Yarrowia lipolytica: one gene and its partner. The protein of the gene in region 2 interacts with the protein of the main gene of each other region in a pairwise test. Links are inferred from orthologs where the notes say so. Each region holds a gene or a part of one and is shown on either strand. Other genes may lie near its edges.

Evidence for each region.
Region 1: the proteins of YALI1_D02137g (region 2) and YALI1_C00422g interact in a two-hybrid assay, tested with the Saccharomyces cerevisiae proteins (3 studies listed by BioGRID, with this or other methods). The link is inferred for Yarrowia lipolytica from reciprocal best matches to the Saccharomyces cerevisiae genes RTF1 and CHD1.

The regions. Positions count from the first base shown.
Region 1 is NC_090772.1:37,627-44,844, forward strand, and holds YALI1_C00422g (uncharacterized protein), read right to left. Parts: upstream 4,790-7,218; coding exon 4,787-4,789; intron 4,656-4,786; coding exon 501-4,655; downstream 1-500. Other genes in the region: YALI1_C00368g (uncharacterized protein), read left to right, coding at 1-426; YALI1_C00442g (uncharacterized protein), read left to right, coding at 6,576-7,218. UniProt on the Saccharomyces cerevisiae protein: ATP-dependent chromatin-remodeling factor which functions as substrate recognition component of the transcription regulatory histone acetylation (HAT) complexes SAGA and SLIK. It recognizes H3K4me.
Region 2 is NC_090773.1:211,127-216,047, forward strand, and holds YALI1_D02137g (uncharacterized protein), read right to left. Parts: upstream 2,612-4,921; coding exon 1,067-2,611; downstream 1-1,066. Other genes in the region: YALI1_D02150g (uncharacterized protein), read left to right, coding at 3,947-4,921.

The DNA.
Region 1 (7,218 bases), on a different chromosome or scaffold from region 2:
CCTGATCTGCTTGAACAGCATGAAAACGAACTCAAGGAGATTGAAGAGAGCGGCTACGAGTACAAACAACACTTTCTGGACACATGTTGCAAGGGAAATCTTCTCGACTACGGCTCAGACCACACAGATCTAAACTACAAGTTTTCGCTGAGGAAATTCACAGACCACATCAACCCAACCACAAAGACAAGCCATCCAGCGCCCACCTCACACTCTCTCCAGAGCACGCTGAGATTCTCGTTACTGGAGACCCAAGGTAACATTAAGAGAAGACGATTCTTCGACCATAATATCAGCACTCCTGTGACGATCTTCCATCGAGAAAACGCTCTAAGCAACGACACTGATCCAAGTTTGCCATTGCCAGTACGATCCGTGGCCTCCTTACCTGAGAAGCAACCACCACTACCGGCTTACGAGAGCTAGTCACACCGATATAAAATACAAATATTGATTACTTTAATATGATTACATGATGCGTTACAGTAGACTTTGGAAGTCTACTTTTTGGCGGCTCCGCTGACCTTCTCGTACATTGCCCGGATACGGTTACTCTTGACTCTGCTGGGCCAGAAGAAGGATGCAAACGCCCACAGATGCTTGAGAGTCTTCTCCCGCTTCTTATCAGAGACCTTCTGGGCTTCGGAGTCGATGTGGTGGCCCACCGTGGACAGCTCCTTCTTGAGGACCTCCAGCCAGGCCTTCTTGTCCAAACCATCCTCGCCCTTCTTGAGGCGCTTCAGAGACGCCTTGACAGGTTTGAGAGTCGTTCGACACGCCTCATCGTCCATTGACTCATAGTCTGAGTAGTCGTCAGCCGTGGGAGGTCCAGGAATCTTCTTGGGGACAGGAGTCTCTCGCTTGGGAGTCTCTCGCTTGATGGAAGGATCTCGCTTGATGGAAGGATCTCGCTTGATAGCAGCCTTCTTGGGAGGTTGAGGAGTGGACACTGCGGGAGATTCGCTCTTTCGAACACGCTCCTTGATGGCAATTCGCTTCTTGTTGCCATCGTTGTTGGTGTGAACAGCCTCGCCCTTGAGAACAGAGATGAGGTAGTCAACTCGACGACCGAGGTGAACGGCACCAGGAACCTTGGCTCCAGTCTTCTCTCGAGCCTCCTTCTTGTCAACTCGGTGCTCCTCAAGGTAGAACTTGTCTCCAAATTTGAGACGTGGATCGTCTCGAATGAAGGTCCAGGCTCCATAACCGTACTTCTTGGTACCAATGAGCAGACGAGCGTCACAGTCCTCGTCCCACTCACAGTTCCAGCCATGCACACTCTTGAGAGGTTCGTCGAACTTGAAAGTGTCCGTCACCTGGCTTCGAATGAGCTTCATGTCGGCTGGTCGTGAGATGAGCAGTTCGGCGTTGATGTTCTTGACGCCCTGGAAGGTGAAAAGAACGGCCTTTTTGGTGTTGGAGGGCTTCTTCTCGTCCAGGGCAGTATCTCCACCGCCTCGAGAAGCAGCAGCCTTTGCCGCAGCAGCGGCAGCAGCTTCAGCCTCTTCCTTGATCTGCTTTTCTCGCTCCTCAACCTCCCGCTTACTCTGGTCAATGAGGTCAAAGTAGGCTTCCTTGATGAGATCGGACTTTCGCTGGGGCAAAGTACCGTCGTTGAAAAGCTTATCCCACATGACGGAGACGTCGCCGTAACGTAGAATTGTTCGGTACAAACCTCTGATCTCCCGCTCGTTGAGGAACTTGTCCTCCTTCTTGCGCTTGACCACACGCCGCCCTCCACTCTCCTCATTTTCGTCAGAGGACTCAAGAGCAGCAGTGGAGGCACGCTGAGAGGCAGCTCGACGTCGATTCATTAGATCCATCTGTTCCTTGACGTACTCCTCGTCCTTTCGACGCAGATCGTCAGCCTTGATCTTGGCGAGCTCGTTGGCAGGGATAATGTCGTCCCAATCAACATCGGCCTTGTAGTCAGTGACCTCAAACTGCTTAAGGAACTCCTCGCCGCCAAGATGACTCTCGCCGAGATCAGGAGTGGTGATATGGTCCTCTGCGTGGTTCAGAACATCGTCTAGGTTCATGTTCTCCAGCTTGTCCTGGTTATCGTTGGCCTTGAACATATTTCCGGCGCCAAACTTTAGGATCTCAGACAGCTCCGAGGTCGACGGCTCAGTCTTTTTGTTGTTGGAAGAACCCTTGTCGGTGATACCAAGGGAGATGATGGCGTACTCCAAAATCATCTTCTTTCTGGCACGCTCGAGAACCTGCTCTTCAACAGTGTCCTTGGACACAAATCGATAGACCATCACGTGGTTCTTCTGACCGATTCGATGGGCTCGAGCCATGGCCTGCAGATCAGCCTGGGGGTTCCAATCCGAATCAAAAATGATGACTGTATCGGCCGTCATCAGGTTGATACCCAAACCTCCAGCTCGAGTGGACAGCAAGAAGACGAAGTCGTTACTGTCAGGGGCATTGTAATGGTCAATTGCAATTCGACGGGTGGCAGAGGGGACAGTACCATCCAGACGCTGGAATTGGTAGCCCTTAATCTGCAAATAATCGCCTAAAATGTCGAGCATTCGAACCATCTGGGAGAAAATCAGAACTCGATGACCGTCCTTTTTCAGCTGAGTGAGCAGCTTATCGAGAAGAACCATCTTACCAGAGGTCATAATCATGCCTCGGAAGACGTTTTCTCGAGAAGCGCCGTTCTCAGCCAAGCTGAGGAACTTGCTCTCGGCAGTGGGGAACAGGTACGGATGGTTGGAGGCCTTCTTGAGCTCCGTCATGATGTTGAGAAGTGACATCTGGTGACCTCCGGTGGCTCCGGCGTTCAGAGCCGTGTAGTTTTTGGAAATGATGTTCTTGTAGTAATCCTGCTGCATGTCGGACATTTCGACTCGCAGAATTCGCTCTGTCTTAGAGGGCAGTGATTTCTCGACATCCTTCTTGAGTCGACGCAAGATGAAAGGCTGCAGGCGCTTATGAAGCTCACGAATGTAACCCTCCTGCTCTTCGTCAGGGTTCTCAAAATTAATTTCCAGATCGATGGTGAGCTTGCCAGGCATCAGGAAGTCAACCAGAGCAGCCAGCTCCTTGATGTTGTTCTGCAGCGGAGTACCGGTGATGAGCAGTCTATTTGCGACTCGGAACTCCTTGAGAGACTCGTAGAGAGCTGACTCGGCGTTCTTGAGACGGTGGGCCTCGTCAACAGCCAGGTACTGCCACTTGATGGACCCCAGCTCGGCTCGGTCCTTAAGAATGTACTCGTAGGTGGTCAGAAGAACATTGAACTTGGGTTTCTTGTTACCAGTTTTGTTGTAGAATTCGTGGTCACGAAGTGCTTTTCGAGACTCGGTGTTGCCGAGATATGCGAGGTAGTTGATACCAGGCGCCCAGAACTCAAAGGTCTCCTGCCAGGCAGGCACAGTAGACAGAGGAACTACCACCAGGTGGGGCCCGTGCTGCTTTCGAGCGTACACAAGCCATGAGAGAAATGCAACGGTTTGGACGGTTTTACCGAGTCCCATTTCGTCGGCAAGAATACCGTTTTCGTTTCGAGACCACAAGAAGGCCATCCAGTTGATTCCGGTCAGCTGGAAGTCTCGAAGTTCACCACCCTTGATGAAGCCAGGCTGCTCGGTAAGCTTCTCAAACGGAGGACGTGAGTTGGCAGGGTAGACTGCGCTCTGGCTGGGATTGATTTTCGAGTTGAGCCGGTCCTGGAACCGCTCGACTTCGTCCTCGGCAATCTTGGCGATCTCCTCGGCATCTTCCCAGGTGGCGTCCGAGTAGTTGAGTCGCTTCCACTTTACGAGATACTGCAACTGAGTGGCTCCATTGTCGACAGCGACACGATCTGATGCAATGATTCGCTCAACAAGTTTATACTCAGCGTACTCCTCCTGTTCGCGCTCGCGTCGCAGCTCCATGGCCTCGATATCCTCGGGGGATGCATCTCGCTGCAGCTCTGCATACTCCAGCACGTTGAGCTTGATGTAATTATCGACTCGCTTGATTCCCTTGAAGCCGGCCAGCGAATCGTACGTCTCCCACGTGTTGTGCAGATGCGAGTAGTTCTGCCACTTGATGTAGAACTCGAGGTGTCGCTTGGCGTCAAACAGATCTGTAATCTGCGAGTCGTCGTCGCCTTCTTTTCGACGATGGTCCAGCACCATATCCACCGCCTCGGTGGACGTGGTGGTGGCGTAGTCGTATGTGTCATTAGCAGCGGCATCACCGTATGCGTCCTGCAGAGCGTCCTCATCCTCGTCCTCCAGAAATTCGTCATCGTCATGGTCAATATTGTAGTTGACCACCTTGGCGTTACGAGACGAGAACCGCAGGTTCTGGTAGTCGGGGGACGGCTCTCGGGCAGACGACTTGTTTCGTCCACCCTTGCGTCTGGAAGAAGACGATTTCTTAGCCTTCTTGGTCGGTGCGTAGTCGTCCTCCTCAGAGTCCTCATCGTCCTCCTCTGATTCCTCATCATCCAGAGACATTTCGCTCTCGTCGGAGAGGACGATTCCGTTGCTCTTTTTGGCCTGCTTCTTTCTCTGGGGACGTTTGGGCACGTCCTCTTCCGACGACGAATAGTCGACGTATCTCTTGCGGGCCTCGTTGGCCGTAGTCACCGCTGATCTCCGGGACCGTCGCAGCCCATAGAGCTCGGGGTCGTCGTTGAAGTCGGGGTTCTAGGGTTAGTAACAGCAACATGGTGACTTTTGTGGGTAGATAGAGCATCGTAGCCTGTCTCTACCATCTCTTTGTGACAGTTATCACCCACTTATTCTCCACCATGCCATCTTCAGTCCAGTGTACTCACCATTGTTACCACAACCTGCTAATGGACGTATATCAAACGCTGTGGGCGGCGGGGAAAATGCAGAGGGGTTGATGACCTTCTGTCTGTGTTTCTGGCGTCGTGGTTGTGCTTTTGTGTGAGGAAAAGAGACGTGATCAAGTCTCTGGTTCCTTCTCCGTTGTGCTGTTGCGCGGTTCTGTGAGCGATGGATGAAGAGAAAATGTCGGCAAAAAAAAAGAGCGTGACGACAGCAACACAGTAATGTGTATATGCAGAAACAGTGGGGATGGTACGGGTTATTGTTTGTGGGAGAGTGGAATGAATTGCGCTATGAAAGATACAGAGTAAGGACATGAAAAGTTACGGCGGAGACACAATCACAACATCGTCATGGTTGTCCCCGAGATTCTACGTAAGGAGTCACCACAGCGGTAGACAGAGCTTCACGCCCTGTGTTTACAAAGCTTCACACCAAGAGTTCTTCCGCCAGGTGACGCGTCTGGCGATGTCAGTCACGGAGGTGAGCAGCAGAGTACATGAGCACGCGTGTGGGCACCATGGCTGCGATGATCCGGGCGACCCAGCCCTTGTGCGACGCCCTAGAGCACCTCTGTAGGTCCTAGACGGTGCCACGAGCTCTCTGACGCCGTAGCCACACTCCAAAAACGCCCCGATACACGTCCAAAGCATATTTGGATATGATACCACAGGGCCTAGGAGATGGCGGGGACACAGACAGGACGTGACCAGGACAGCGCCGTAGTGTAGTGTCCAGCGGGCGTGGCACAGGCGCAGACCAATGCCACAGTGTGTCTGCGGTGCGTGTTCATCTCGTCGACGAGACGCGTGACTTTGAAGCGACAGTGGTTGCCAAACAAGAGGTCAGGGGCGGGTACTTTGTCTGGCTAGAGGAGGAGGAGTTTGGGCGATAGCCACATTTGTTAGCCTGAGGTGCCCTAACCGCATTTTAGGGTTCTGGCCAATGGGAGAAGTTCTGTACAAGAATCTTTCAAACCCTTTTCCCCGGCAAGATGCCACTTACCCGGCCAGAGTTTAATATGTACGCGGCGACAAGGATATGGAGGGTTAGGGTGTTCCTGATTGGGTAGACACTGACTTTGAGGTCGTCCAGATGCTGTAACATGACTGCAACTATGTACTTGTGCACTTGTACGGTATTGTTCTTATAAAGTAGTAGATCTCCACATGTTGATTTAAGCTATATTATTTGATATCTCTTCCTCCCAGCTCTCTACAGTATGTGCAGTTTTCCTACAGTAAATTCCCAACCTTTTAGCTACAGTGCAGCTTTCATAATCTGATGTGAATAGTAGGAGAGAATGTGGCTCATATAGATCACGACATAGGAGAAGACACTGTGACAGAATGGGTACAATTTCTGTTGGTACTGTTATCACGTGCGTACCTGACACATAGTTTGGTTGTACCTGGTGCCTGGTGAATGTGTCATCACGAAATTCTCAACTGTCCGTAGTATGGCATGGCTCTTTCACGCCACCAATGGCAAGCCGGAAAGGAGAAGTGAGTGTTTAGGAGGAATTGAGGACAGCAGAGAGGGTATCGCGTGATACAATGTTTGTCGTACCTGTTTAAACAGATAAATGTGGGCTTTTATCTCTTCAGACCCCCTCCCACGCTTTCAAACACGTGTCTCCTCTTCTCTAATTAAAGTGTCACGTCTACGCGTGGTGCATGCGAGACGCGCGTAAATTGGCCCAGCCTTGACAAATATAATACTGCTTGAAGGACAGAATACAACAAATCCAACAAGCAACTCCCCACAGCACAAATGTCACATCCTCTCCAGGAGTTCTCGCCGTCGCAGCTCAATAAACGACGTCAGGCGTCCATCTTCGACTTTGGAGCCACAAAAAAACGACGTCACGAATATCCTCCTAGCCCGCCTTCAAGTTCGCCTATCAAGAGAACAGACGACTACACCTCCGCCGAGTTCAGCACGCTTGAAAAAAGCCCTGTTCCATTTGAAATCGCTGTCTGTCTGCCTTCTCACCTGAGATCTGGCATCAACAGTCTCTCTCACAATGCATCTTTTCTGTCTCGTCTTCAGTGGCGCGAAATGGACGGTCTCAGACGCCATATCATGACCCAGAATCCCATACCCCATAGATACGCCCAGGCAACGGGAATAGCCGTGGCCATCGAAGATTGTCCTCTTCCTGTCCTTTGCGGCGTTTCTTCCAGCTCAACAAATGGCTTTTGGATCGGAACCCAAGACGGCAAAGCAGTCAATGTCAACAAACAGCTGCAACATGTCAACACCATTCAGATGCACAATAACGCCATTCTCGATATGAGTACTGGGGCTGGACTGCCTGATTTCCTGGCCACCGCTTCGGGAGACAAATCTGTCATTCTGTGGGAAACTGCTCAGAATGAAGACGTCATTGTCAGACAGTATTTCTGTGGAAACG
Region 2 (4,921 bases):
ACTAGAGTAGAAGTCCTCATAATCAATGTGTCTCTTGAAATGGTTTTACAGCCTATAGGACTGTTCCTAGCTTGAGTTGAAGAGGTGAAGAGGGAAAGGGGGACATTAAGTGGAAAATTCAAAGTGCTTATCAATGAGATTAACTGCAATTAGAATACACTTAAAATACTTAGAATACACCTGAAGTACTTTTCAAACAACCCACTTACTACTACTGTACTGTACTGTACATTATCACTCTAACACCATCTACAGTATGTTCAATCTAATATCAGTTCAGACCCTTGGGTCAAATGAACACCATCTCCAGCCCAAAAGGAGTTCTAAGACCAACAGAAATTGTCTACATAGTTATTTAAAGCCATTTAAATCATTTTAGGTACTTTTATTGACTCTCATTTACGCAAGATGATGCACAAGCGTCCTTTATGTCGTATGACTGAGAATGGGAGGAAGTACAGGAGCACCACTTCCTAGACGATAGTGTAAAGGTCTGACTTAGTGTGTTCAATTAATTAACTGTGTATTGTTTTATATATGTTCCAGGGATGGCTATATGGCCTATCTATGGGAAGTAAGGAATCTCAGTCGAGGCCCCCTTTTGAAACCCTACTGGAATCTGTACACCATTAAAAGTAATAAAAGAGAGATATTATCCTGTTTTCGTGGAGATCTGGTGAATCGACAGAATACAAGTATTGCACTTGTACTCGTTCCTGTATTGAACAATCAGCAGTGGCGGCGTGTGAACACTGTTATGCCGCAGCTTGTTTAGAAACTTGTATGACGGTACATACTGTACAGTTCTTGTAATACGATTCTACCGCCTGCTTACCAACTTGTACATCACAATCAGTTCCATATATTACAAACATAACTTACCAGGGCAGCTAACCCTGCTCCTACCTACTATTCCTCCACAACAGATTCACTGTGCCTTCAAACCCATTCCTGTTGATGTGAATGTGGAGTCCGGCAAAGAGACTTAGTCTTTCACGCTTCATGGCGCTTGCAGCCGGAAGCAAAGGAAGTGCTACCTACCTATCCTTGGCTTTTCGCTCGCCGTTCACAACTTGCTTAGATCAATATCAATCTCAATCGTTGCAATTCTCGAATCAATACTATGCGTCTTCAAACACACCTTCTTGGCCTCCTCCTCGGCGATCCCCTCCGCCTTCTCCATCTCCTTCTGTCTAATCTCCTCAGCCGACTGATGGAAGATCTTGACGGTCGTCTTGAGACGCGAAAAAGGATCGGCATTGACACCAGAGTTGCTCATGGCAGCCTTTCGTCGCGCCTCCAGATCCATCAACTCAGCCTTTCGAATGCTCTCCTGGTTGGCCTTTCTGTTTCGAGCATTGACCTCGGCAAACTTGTCTTTCTGCGACGAGATGGGCTTGGACGTGTTCAGTGCCTCCAGCTCGGCCAGCTGTTCATCAATCTTGGCCATTTCGTCCTCATTTCCTTGGTCCTCGGCAATCTGGCGTCTGTTTTCCAGCACTGCCCGCTCAATCACAGCGTTGGCTCCCCGACCCGCAGACAGCTTGGACCGTCGGCGGACCATGTCGTCAATCTCCTGCGATGTGAGAGGTCGCGTGGCCAGCTCCTTGAGCTCCTTGTGTTTCCGTTCCAGGCGCTGGACACTGGGCAGGGAAACGCCTCCCTCCTCACACGCCTTTTTCCACTTGACAAAGTCCTCCTCAGTGAAGGGGCTGTCAGAGCAGTATCGCATCTCAAAGTTGGCTTCGTCGGCTCCAAACGCCACCTTGAGCGAAAAGTTGACTGTAGTGCCCTCCAGGGAATACGTCTTGTGTTTGAGGGGGACAACCTCCTTCACGAGACACACTCGGTTTCGCTGTTCCGTTCTGCTGACGGCAATTGGAATTCGAATGTAAGAACCGACCACAACCTGCTCGAATTCAGGATAGAAACAAAACTTGGCGAGCTGGGATCGCGAGAACCGGACTGAATTGAGTAGTCGTACGTCAAGTGTCTTGACCACCTCCTTTTCGTCCACCACATGATCCTCCGGTTCGTAGCCGTCGTCAAAATCGTCTTCCTCCTCCTCTCCTTCGTCTTCCTCGTCGTCGTCGTAATCATCCTGTTTTCGGGCTCGCTTCTCTCGTCGCTTTTTCAATTCACTCAGCTTTTCTCTCTTGGAAGATCGCTCAGAGTTGCGCTCGGTGTCCCGCTTTCGCTGCTTAAGACGCTGAGTCAGGTACTTTTTCTCCTGGTACTTTTGCATCTCCTGCGATCGGTCGAACAGCAGAGACTCTCGCTCCATTTCAGTCATGTTGAGCAGCTTCTGCCGATCGGCTTCGTCCTTGTATTTACCCTCCAAGGGGTAAGGCACGAACTCGTCTTCGGACTCATCGTCGTCGTCGTCGTCGTCGTGGTCAACGCCCTTGGCTTCATAGTCATCCTCGTCGTCGTCCTGATGGTCGTCATCACCATCATCACCTCCATCGTCATCATCTCCCTTGTCGCCATCTTCACTGTCCTCATCAATACGTCGACGTTTGGAAGGCTCGGCCTTGGATGTTAGATCGCCCTCGTCAGAGGAGTCCACGCCGCCAGCAAGCGCAAGAAGATCGTCGTCGAGATCGGACATTTTGGGGTGTTGTAGTGCTGCTGCTTCCAGAGAGACAAATCTCAAGATGTCGATGCTGAACGCCAAACTCAAAGTCACGTGTTGGGACAAGCTGGGAAACGGGGGATTGAAGGGATCGGTGGATATCCTAATATTAGGGGCTACCGGGGGTAGATTGAGAGGTCATGTGACAATAAATGGATCTGGGCAACGATTTTGATCAGATTCACAACTTCATATTTCCAATTCCTCCCATTTTAACCGATTTTATGACGCTTTATTGGGACTCAATGATGTTCAACACTGAAATTTTTGAAATTTCAGAGAGAAAATGTGACGAGCTGGGCTGAGCCACGTAGCGATCTTTTGAAAGACAGATATTCACTACTTGAACTTGTACAGCACTTGTAGCATGTAATTCAGTAAAAATACACGGACCAACTGTGATTTCGGAGTCCCCTTGGATACCTTCTCCGTAGCTTTACTTACATTAGTTGATAAGTAGTGAAGAGGAAAGTTCACCTCGGTGTGTCTCGCTCGGCTTTCAGAGGAGCTCGAGCTATGATTTTTATACAGTTCCAGAGGAGGTACACGTATTCTGAGCAAATATTAGATATTAATTATAATTATATTCCAGAAAAGTGTCCGTAGTTGCTGTACAGTAGGGAATGTGGAGTTCCTGTTAGTTAGGACATTTGTGGGCTATTACATGGGATTTTCTAACGTTAACATAGACCTGACTTCTAGACTCAGAACAGAACTAGTCATTGAATTAGTCCCCAGGAATTATCGACCCTAGCATCTCAGGATATAGTCAATAAAAGTAGTAACTACTCGATAGTCGCTTAATACATTATTTCGGAAGCTGGGTCCGTACAGTATAGTGTCATAGATTCACACAAGCCACTTGAGATACTCTAAGCCACGCATCCGCCAAGGCACCGGTTCGACACCTGCAAATCACGAATATTAGGGATGTCCACAAAACACCGAAAAACGAGAATAACACGAAATCGACATACACCAACGCCCCCCTAACTTCACTACACACACTCTCCTCATATCCAGCAAGCCAGCTCGACTCTGGTCTCCTACTCTGTCTTCCTTGCTGTCGTCTTGCAGGCACTAATATGCCTATTTCTAGGTCTGGAATGAGACTAGTCAATGTAACCGTAGACCAGGAAACGCATGTCACATAGCGGGTGTGGCAACGCGCGCAAACAAACACAGAAGCAGTGATATAAAGCCACGGCGATTGCGTTGCTTGCGTCGCTCCATTGACCAGACCAAATCAGCTCCTGAAGTTTCAGACTCATTTCCTCACACGCCAGTATTAGACTGCATCTCAGTGCTGCAATGGAAACTCTACTTTTATTCTTTCCAAACAGTACCAGCACCAGCACCATGTCCAACCAGACTCAAATGAGCAAACGGTCACCGTCGATTCTGGTGACCGATGTGCGGACTAACCCCGTGCGGCCGGCGCCGTTTGCAGGCGGCCGGCGCCAGTCCTTCTCGAAACGGCCCAAATCGAAAGGAAACAAGTTCAGCAACATTAGTGTGTCTGGACTGTTGGACGGAGCTCCAGCAAAGCGACTGCAACACGACTACCAGAGCACGGTGCAAAAGGCGCGAGGCATCCCACAGCGAACGTCGAAACAGTCGCAAAAACTGGTTTTGATCCCAGACGAGTCGCCGTCCTACGACGACGATGATGAAGACGCTTACGGAGTGCCCATCCCCGGAAAGCTGAAGGGACACGAGCTGTTCGACCTCAACACAGACGCAGATGCTTACGACGAGGCCAACGCCAAGGTGTATGTCACAGATGTGCCCAGACGAAGTATAGCCGAGCGAATGAGCAAAGATGCGCGAGATGCAAAGCTCCCACGAGTCACAGCCTACTGCACTGCCGAAGGGTATAGACTCAAAGCCACGGCCGAGTTTCTGCAGGAAAATCATGAAATTCGACCGCGAATCTACGACGAAGCGCTATTTGCGCCCTACTACCTGCCTCTTCTGCCTGGAGAAGACGGTTGCCGGGTCAGAAGCTCCCCCCCTTTAAGAAACGCAGTGGGAGAGTCTCTTATGGAGACCCTGATTGAGACGTCGGAGAACACAGACCATCATTTTGAGTATTACGGAGCCGACGGAGAGGAGCCGACGGACTTTTCACCTAAAGATGCCCCCATACCCCTGAAAGAAGAGTCCACTTCTCCGGAGTCCTTGTCTGAACCTCAACCTGGAAGTTCAAACGATACACATAAATCAGACGCTCCACCACCCACTACGAAACGTCTACCCACTCTCCCGGACCTCAAGCGACACGCA